Linked DNA regions of Saccharomyces cerevisiae S288C. The gene in region 3 interacts genetically with the main gene of each other region. Each region holds a gene or a part of one and is shown on either strand. Other genes may lie near its edges.

Region 1 (3,649 bases), on a different chromosome or scaffold from region 3:
TTTTCGAAAGGCGCAACCCATTTGTATATATGTTTTGAGTTTTCCCGAGGATTTATTTTTAAATTTTTTTCACTCTTGAGAGCACCTACATCTTCGACATCTCCTTTCTTTCTTGAAAGTGCCCTCTTCCACAACGTAGGATTCCTGGATTGAATTAAAGCAAAACACTGTCATAGATAATATTCGAGGAGATTACACCTCTTACTAAAAGTTAGTAAAGAGAAAATAGGTTAAGGATGTGACAATTTCACGTACGATTATCCAGTCAACTTCCGATGTTTCCTTTTGTTCCATATCTTCCAGTTTGCCTCTACTCATGTCCTTACTCTTCTAAAAGATTATTTAATGAAACTGTTTCACAACTACAAGATGTTTGTTATGTTTTCTTTTACAAGTCGGAAACATTTAGCCGCCCAGCAATATATATGACTCCGAAAGAAAATGAAAGGAAATACATACATAGTAAAATAAATCGTTTAAACATAAATAATCGTACAGAGGAAAACATTAAGGAAGGAGAGTCAAACTAATGTACTGGGAATTTGGATCTCCCATAAGAAGTATGCGCAATACTTTTATTCATCATATAGACTGGAGCTGCGTATCATTTCTTCAATCATTTTCAGAAACCCGTTAACATCACTATCCTTGTTTTGAAGGCTTTGATAACTATTATTACCACCATTAATTGTGCATTCTTGCATGTGCAACCTCGAAATTTTCTTCATTTTTTGAACCAATTTTTCGTAATTTTCAATTTTTTTCTTCATCATTGTGTTTTCTTTGCTTATTTGGTCAAATTCCCTTTGAAGTTGTAATTGTGACATTTTCTTTCTCTGTCGACACTTGGAAGCGGCAATTCTGTTTCGTTCTAGTAGCCTTGCACGCTTCCAAGCTTTAGCACCGTCTTTCAAGCCTGCAGTATTGTTCTCTATTTTTTGGGGTCTAGCTTCCTGCTTTATTTGGAAGGTTGCTGTAGTGTGCATAGAGGAGAAGGGCGCGGTATGTACGTCTTTCTCACTATTAATATTGTTTTTCAGTGCAGAAGTGGCATCCTTGTATTGTGGTTTTGAGTTGGCATGTGTTAAATTGACATCAGGGCATTTCGATTCGTATGGAAGGCTGCTTGAAATATTCAACTCGGCATTTTGGCAGGAATTATTAACAGTGTGGTGATTAACGCCATGGGAAATTGAAGAATGGACGGATTGATTTTCGATATTATGATCATTAATGTTTTGGCAGGAAGAAGAAGAGGAAACGGAAGAATTAGAGGCTGGAGTACATGGATGCACATTCAATTGAGCGTTTTTCCATGCCTTAGTTTGCATTTGAGCTTGTAATCGGAGTTGCATGTTGATGTAAGCCTGATTCATTGTGGAATCGCCAGATGGGATAGAAGGCGTGGCAGAAGGAATGTCACAAGTGGCTGCTACTGCGGGTATGTTAAGCTTTATATTGCTATCATACGGGGTCATTGCAGCGTAGATATTCTTGCTACCTGTTTGAGGTGCAGCTTCGGGTATGACTGTAGCTTGTTCGTGTGGTTGTGGCACGTTTTGCAATTCGTTCGAGCTAAAGCTTGGGTATATGGCTGCGCTTGGATTTGCCACCTGTTGAGGATTGGGATTCTGTTGCGCCTTAGACGATAGGATCGGAGGCTGACAGTTGTAAAGATTTTCAACCGTTTCTAAGTCTTCGCCTAATTGACTAATCTGACCATTGGAGATAGATATGCGTCTTTTGTACACGGGCTGATCAAACGCTGGTAAAGAACTTTGAAAAATGGGAGGGTTGGTAATGGGAAGATGGCTGATGTCGACGCCAAAGGGTTGAAACATTGGACCCAGGTTTTCTTGCACGCTACGGTCATGCAAACTGTTTTGGTGATGAAAATTGTAGGCAGAATCCACAAGACCAGGACCCGATGGTTGTTTGTATATAAGCTCCTTGTTTGAAGATAGAAAATCTGTATATAAGAGTGGGTTCTGCCTTCCATCTAGGAAAGAATCTGGACTTGTAGCAAAATTATGCTTATAGTCCATACTTTATTTGGTTCCTTAGTCGTTACCTGGTGTTATTCCAGTACTATTAATATAACTCAGTACAATTAGCTGCCGTGAAAAAAAAAAAATAATAAGAATACAGTTTCTGCGCTTTTAGTCGGTAAGCACTCAGATTGAGAGATCTAGATTTACTATATTTTAATAATAACCAGTTAAAGCAGATTTTGAAGATGAACTAACATAAAAAAAATTGATGAATTATGTAACATAATCTTCTGTACCACCAGGGTAAATCGCCAAAGAATATCTGCATCTAAGAACAAAAGAAAATGGTGCCCTAAATATCTTTCAGATGAAAAACTAATTATATATCACTACTAAAAAAAGCCAGAAAAAGAAAAAAAGTAAAATAGAAAATAGAAAATAGAAAATAGAAAAATAGAAATTAAAATTAAGAGCATTTTAAAATTAAGTCTACAAAGTAATACTTGGCATATTGCTTAACTCCTCACGCAGAGCCTTAGCGTACCACTATTTTATCTGATACCACAAAAAGCTGCGCTTTGATGGCCCAACGGGGATATAATCGCGCCACTGCTACTCATGTGCTGCAAACTAACAGTGCCAGCAGAAGCGAGCATTGAAAAACTAAACTTTGCCTTGTTCTGCTTACTTCATGCAGAGGTACAGCTTCGATGTCCTAAGGTTGAACATCATCTTGCTTCGATTTCGGTAGTAATCATTTTGCCTGCACGCCATTGTATGAATCTCGTGCCACTCCCTTTTTAACTCCGAGATACAACTTTCCGTGGGGAAAAGTACCGTAGTATTGTAATTTCGAGAGCATCTTTACGGTAATTGCCCCTCCACACCCAGACGTTACACAACCCTTAGTAAACAGCTGCGGAAAAAAAGTGTGCCTACGCACTGTACGACTCCTGATTGATTCCTTCATTAGCACTGACTGGCTTACGGTGCACATAAGTTATTAAGAGCAGTTTAATTCAGTTGCTGAATAGTCACGTTGATGAGCACGAATACCTGAAACACCAACGGTAATGAATCAATTGGCCTAGCGCATCGTTGTGTGCTTGGGTGTGCCGCACAATGGCAACCAAATACTGCTCGTTCCTGCACTTCGAAAGAAAAGCAGCCAAAAGAAAACGCGTTTTCCTTTGCGAGCGCTGGTTTGTTCCTCAGTTTGATAGAGGCGTTCAATTGGCAATTTGGGCACTAACACCGATGATAACAAGATATCTTGACTTTGACCTCTGATATTGAGGCGTTCCAACCAATAAGAGGGGCTGACGGTTGAAAATAAGGGTAAAAGAGAGCTATTCGGGTTGGGTCGCAGATTAACTTAGAAAACATGTACATGCAAATGTTGTTTTTTACGTACAGAAAGAGGCTGATGGAACCAAAGGAAGCAATAATTTGCACCTTGATATTTTGCGCTTTCTGCTTTTGAAACCTTATTATATGCCTTTACATATACTGTCACGCGACATTTTCACCTTCTACAGTGTTTAATGAAAATCTGGCTTGTGTGCATTATCTTTTTTGTGAAAGTTTATCTCCGCTTAAACAAAGCGATTGAATCTTGTCTACGTAATTGGGCTCGTGGGACCAAAAGGCTACTATTT
Region 2 (3,338 bases), on a different chromosome or scaffold from region 3:
TGTCGCCGGAGGAAAGAAAGGGGAATCCTCTCGCACATCTGGTACAAGGCCAAAAATCTTACCAAAGATTCCTACCGGTGCCGAATTAAGGGATGCCATTATTAAAGCTAAGGGTATTGATTCTGTAGATGATCTGATTAAAAATGTTACCTCTGAAAAGGTTGGATTGGAATCATTATATGGAGATGAATTGAACTCTAGAAGCCCGAGTAATGACAGTTTACAAGAATCACAACAAAAGGCGCCTTTGCAGAGGCCCCTTGTTGAAGATGAAACAGTGACAAAAAAATATGACAAACTATTGAACGATCTGTCTAATGTTCGTCACAGTAAAACCTAAATTATTTTATGCTTCTGTCTTTCCTTTCTCTTTCGATTATTAGAAGGTGCATCTTTGTATAAATATCCCATCAATAATGTATTCTTAGGAATCTATATATGTATGTACGTTTTATGTGTATATGTATTTTACGTTTTTTCATAATCATATACTTTCTGCCGAAATTTTTTGCCTTCATTATGCACACTAATGTTATTAATCAGATAAAAATACAGAAATTTAAAATAAATACTGAGAATAATATAATTAACTGTTCGAGAATTGTCGCAAATTAATAGCTTCACACTACTCCCACAAGGATTCCTAATTCACGTGCAACAGCAACCGGATCTTTTTGAAAATGCTTTCGAATTGGTTGGGACCCAGTTTCGTAGAATCCTCTTTCATCAATCTAATCAGAGAAACGAACCCAACGAGTGTTAATAGATTGATAGCTGTGGACCATTTTTTCCTGCTAGTCATTTTTCTAACACCGAAATAACGGCAGAGCCCCGAACCTATATGATATACACCTGACTCGAGGAGAATAGCTAACGGCACCAGGCCTCCAAGCCATTTCCACCACCTGTTCTTGCTAGATAGTAATTGCTTTATAGAGGCGAAATCCACCTCAGTAGAGATGGAATTCGGCACCCATTTCATAATTAATAAGTGGTATATCAGGACGGGAACAAGGATGTATCCACTAATCACTTGTGGAGGAATGCGGAAGGTCTTATACAATCCAAATAAATAGCCAGAAATTCCACCAGTTAAACCAATCGAATCTTGGGATAGATCTTGTTCGGCCGATATCTTTAAATGTCGATGTCTATTTCTTCTTGGCTTGTTCCAGTTGTTCACGATTCGGAGCAAGACACCAGCAGAAACATGAAGAGTAATACCCGCAACTAACAGCTTGGTAGTTATGGACGGTAAAATCTCTCTCACCATCATTAAAACGTCGTCAGGAGCAGAATCAGGTGATACTGCCGGCGTGATTAATGTATTTGCTGCATGTAGTGGGAAATACAATGCCATGGGCAGTACCGAAATCTTTTGACAGTTCCAAAGGAATCTCCGACATGAACTCCTGGAAAAAGGATACGGAATGCCAAATATTTTTTTCCTCTTATCAGGATTACCATCTCCTTCGGGGCTATGTGCATTAACATCATGAGGGAGACTAGCAGGGTCTACTGGTTCTGGAGGCACTTCATGCAACTTTATCATCGTAATAAACAAAACTCTGGGCTAACTGGTATATGCCCTAGTAATTCGGGACCTGTTAGGAGCAATACAATCTACACAAGGTTTTCCTTACTTATTTTCCAATTGACGACCAACTTGCCTCACACAATTACAGAGCACGTATTCGCTCTCTAGCCACTCTTTTCAAAACAAATTTTAGTTGTGGACCTGGTTAGGATACAATCAGCGATGTCGGAAGACTGATGTAGTAGAATTGACTGGAACGCTTCTTCTATAGTCTACACGGAAGCTATACTCCCTTGAATAGATGGTAGATGTTCCGCATAAGGTTTGTCCTTTTGGTTTTTTAGCCCCGTTCGGGGTTCGAACTGCTAAGTCATATTCCGCACATATGCGTCCGCAGACTCTCATTGGATCATTCTTACCCATTCGGGTCATAATGCAAGCCTTTACCATTTATGGCACTTTGATTTCCCTTTCCATCTCACATCTTCAATTCTATTGTTTTTGAAAAAAAAAAAAAATAAAAAAAAAAAAGATTAAAGGCAATTAGTTAGCTGACGTATGGAACATCTCTGCTGTACAGCTACATTTACTTATAAGACAAGGAGCAATTAGTAGCGACGGGAGCAAGAACTAAAAAGGATAGAGGATGGCGAAAAGCAAATCCAGTCAGGGTGCGAGTGGAGCACGCCGTAAACCGGCACCTTCTTTATACCAACACATTTCTAGCTTTAAACCACAATTCAGCACAAGAGTCGACGATGTTTTACATTTTAGCAAGACACTGACATGGAGAAGTGAGATTATTCCAGACAAATCCAAGGGCACCTTGACGACTAGTCTTTTATATTCTCAAGGTAGTGATATTTACGAAATAGACACTACTTTACCATTAAAGACATTCTATGACGACGACGACGACGACGACAACGACGACGACGACGAAGAAGGTAACGGCAAGACGAAGTCTGCAGCCACCCCAAATCCAGAGTATGGTGATGCTTTCCAAGATGTTGAGGGGAAACCATTGCGCCCAAAGTGGATTTACCAGGGCGAAACAGTGGCAAAAATGCAATACTTGGAAAGCTCAGACGACAGTACGGCGATCGCGATGTCCAAGAACGGCTCTTTGGCATGGTTCAGAGATGAGATCAAGGTTCCCGTTCATATCGTACAGGAAATGATGGGCCCTGCTACTAGATACTCTAGTATTCACTCTCTAACCAGACCAGGTTCATTAGCAGTGTCAGATTTTGATGTGTCGACAAATATGGATACGGTAGTAAAGTCACAAAGTAACGGCTACGAGGAGGACAGCATCTTGAAAATCATCGACAACTCCGATAGACCGGGAGATATATTACGTACAGTGCACGTTCCAGGGACCAACGTGGCTCACTCAGTTAGATTTTTTAACAACCATTTATTTGCATCTTGTTCAGATGACAACATTTTAAGATTCTGGGACACAAGAACAGCGGACAAACCGCTTTGGACGCTAAGCGAACCGAAAAATGGACGACTAACGTCCTTCGATTCCTCTCAAGTTACTGAAAACCTATTTGTCACTGGGTTCAGCACGGGTGTCATCAAGCTATGGGATGCGCGTGCTGTGCAACTGGCTACTACTGACCTCACACATAGGCAGAACGGCGAGGAACCGATCCAAAACGAAATAGCCAAGTTGTTCCATTCTGGCGGCGATTCCGTTGTCGATATCCTGTTCTCACAAACCTCTGCAACAGAATTTGTTACGGTTGGAGGAACGGGTAATGTCTACCACTGGGACATGGAGTACTCTTTT
Region 3 (2,485 bases):
TAACAACATCGGTGATCTTCTTACCGGTATAACCCTTCCATTCACCAGAACGAACTTGTTCAGAGAACTCCTTCATGTGCTTCAAGACAGAGTCGACTTCTGGAGCAACGTTGACACCATCAACGTACATTGGCTTGTTAGCTCTGTTTCTCAATGCGACGTGGTAGACAGCACGATCTTCAGTGGAGTTGATGTGTTCACCTTTGAACATAGCATCTCTCAAACCGGTGACGTTAGCCTCCTTGGCCAGTTCAATCAATGCAGCAATGATTTCATCGTTGACCAAGTTCTTTGAGTAGTCGAACAAGATTTTGGAACCATCATAGTTGGTGAAAGTCTTGTTCAATTTTTCAAAACGCTTGGCATCTTTTTGGAATTCTTGCTTGACAGACAAAGTCTTACCTTGAGATTCATAAATTTTTTGCAACTTAGACCAGGCTGGCAATTCAGTGGCCAGTTTGAAGTTAGTGAATGAGTTATTGGACATTTTTAGGCTGGTATCTTGATTCTAAATCGATTTTGCAAGACTAGAGGAATATGTATTAAAATTCACTGAATGCAAGTAAAATATTAAGTAAAAGAAAGCATTGATTATGAAGAAAGGACCTTTTTAAGATATGAGAACAATGAGAAAAGGAAAAATGGGACGAAACAAATAGGGAAAATTCCGTCTGTAAAACCAATTGTAGTAACAAAAAACGCTCATTTCAATAGCAAAAAAATAGAATACCGTCAATGGATATATATAGACACGGGACATTATAACAACGTGCAGATGGTGATGATTGCAAACCCAAAAAATTACCAGCTTCCTGTAATTCCAGGTTGAGCGCGTGGCTTCCTATAATCCAATACACCCACACCCACCCAGATCGTGATTTTTGTTACCATCCCGGTTCTTGCCTCATTGACATATTTTTCTGACGGTGACAGAACGTGGCCTTGTACACTCTTTTTTAATGTTACGCTGGCACAACATAGTTCAACGAAAAACGAATTAAGTTCTTACTTCCGTGTTTTAATCAGAAAACGATATTCCAATGAGAGATATAAGCGTAAGGTAGCATGTCCGATGGCAAAATTCTCTTTGCTTCCGCAGCGGGGCCAAAGTCTTACTCGCCTCTAACCCCACGTAGGACAAGTGCTGAGAATAAAATAGTCTTGGCGTAGTATGCCTTCTTCAGTAATATTTTTTCTTTTGAAAGTACTACCCACATCCGAACATTGCCACTTACATAGCGATGCAAATAGCCGCCAGGAAATGCCGCATGTTATCCACTAAGAATAGTCAACATTGCATAGCATCCAAATACGTGAAAGCGGACCGATCTTGAGCGAAATGTTTAGTACCGTTGATGTGTAGAAGTAGTGCCCTGAAATACATAGCGGTGTATTATTTAGCATTAACATACAAAAAAAAAATAACGGAGGCACCAATGGAAGTGGTGTCGCTACATTAGTTTTTAACTCAGTCAGAAAACTGAATTTAGTTGATATGGGACCGCTCCAAGGTAGGAGAATACTAGATCAAGTAAAGCAACCGCACTAGTGCCTTTTTCAAACAAGGTGGTTTGATGAGGAGGCTTTCTACAATCCTAGAAATATAAGACATCTGTCAGATTAGCCGCCGTTCATATGGTTTCAAAAGGTTGCGAATGGAGACAAACGTTCCTCGTCCCAAATTAGCCAGACGGAACAGGACAATAAAGGTGATAATGTAATCCATGACTTCCTCTATTTTAGACGGGACTTTTAGCATCCTCTAAATATTTTCAACCCATACATGTCATCAGCATCGGTGAACATCTTTAATAGTATCGACAACTTGGCTCACGTACTTCTCACCGTCAAGTGCGATTTCCGGGTCATGCAATACCTCGTCTGGTTCTTGATCTTTATTCGTGGCAGAATTATGCTGATCCTTATGAGGAGGGCTCCTCAGCTTGGCATACTTTAGTCGCTGATTTCTTTCCCTCATTAATCGCAGTAGTTGAGCGTGCGACTTGCGCATTTGCGTGAGATTGCTCTCAAAATCTCGTGGGAACCCGTCGTTGACGATAGGTTCTTTCGCCATCTTCTTCACATCATCCAGTGTATCGATTTCAGACCATGATACGTCTTGCGTCTCCGTAGGTGCCAGGTTTGAGTGCATTGTTATACGGCTACCATTTACGCTTCTTTCGTATGCAGTATTACCCCTACTAATGCTGGTCGTTAAGGGGTTTAGTGCTGGAGGCGTGGTTAGGTTTTTGGTCGGAAGTGCGTTGGAACTGCCCATTATAGAGGCAGTGGAATCTGAAGATCCCTTTCTTTTATCTTTGTCGCTCTTTGCCTTTAATTGAACCAGCTGAGGGTTTCCTTCCTGGCTACTAGATTTCCTTCTGTTGGTGGAATCCGCGTCGCTTACTTTCACCTGGACTGGTGGGGTTTGCTTCACTCCCATTATTTGTCTTCGTTCGTGCCAGCAACATACATTTCATCTTAT

Evidence for each region.
Region 1: mutations in YBR196C-A (region 3) and ACA1 together harm fitness less than expected from each alone (positive genetic interaction), as found in Saccharomyces cerevisiae (one large-scale study listed by BioGRID).
Region 2: mutations in YBR196C-A (region 3) and MCP1 together harm fitness more than expected from each alone (negative genetic interaction), as found in Saccharomyces cerevisiae (one large-scale study listed by BioGRID).

The regions. Positions count from the first base shown.
Region 1 is NC_001137.3:239,457-243,105, forward strand, and holds ACA1 (Aca1p), read right to left. Parts: upstream 2,046-3,649; coding exon 576-2,045; downstream 1-575. Other genes in the region: MEI4 (Mei4p), read right to left, coding at 1-167, 256-318. UniProt on the Saccharomyces cerevisiae protein: Transcriptional activator of promoters containing ATF/CREB sites. Can independently stimulate transcription through ATF/CREB sites. Important for a variety of biological functions including growth on non-optimal carbon sources.
Region 2 is NC_001147.6:766,226-769,563, forward strand, and holds MCP1 (Mcp1p), read right to left. Parts: upstream 1,553-3,338; coding exon 644-1,552; downstream 1-643. Other genes in the region: HER1 (Her1p), read left to right, coding at 1-340; WTM2 (transcriptional modulator), read left to right, coding at 2,184-3,338. UniProt on the Saccharomyces cerevisiae protein: Recruits the lipid transfer protein Vps13 to mitochondria thereby promoting vacuole-mitochondria contacts. Involved in mitochondrial lipid homeostasis.
Region 3 is NC_001134.8:613,414-615,898, forward strand, and holds YBR196C-A (uncharacterized protein), read right to left. Parts: upstream 761-2,485; coding exon 611-760; downstream 1-610. Other genes in the region: PGI1 (glucose-6-phosphate isomerase), read right to left, coding at 1-487; YBR196C-B (uncharacterized protein), read right to left, coding at 1,113-1,217; YBR197C (uncharacterized protein), read right to left, coding at 1,790-2,443.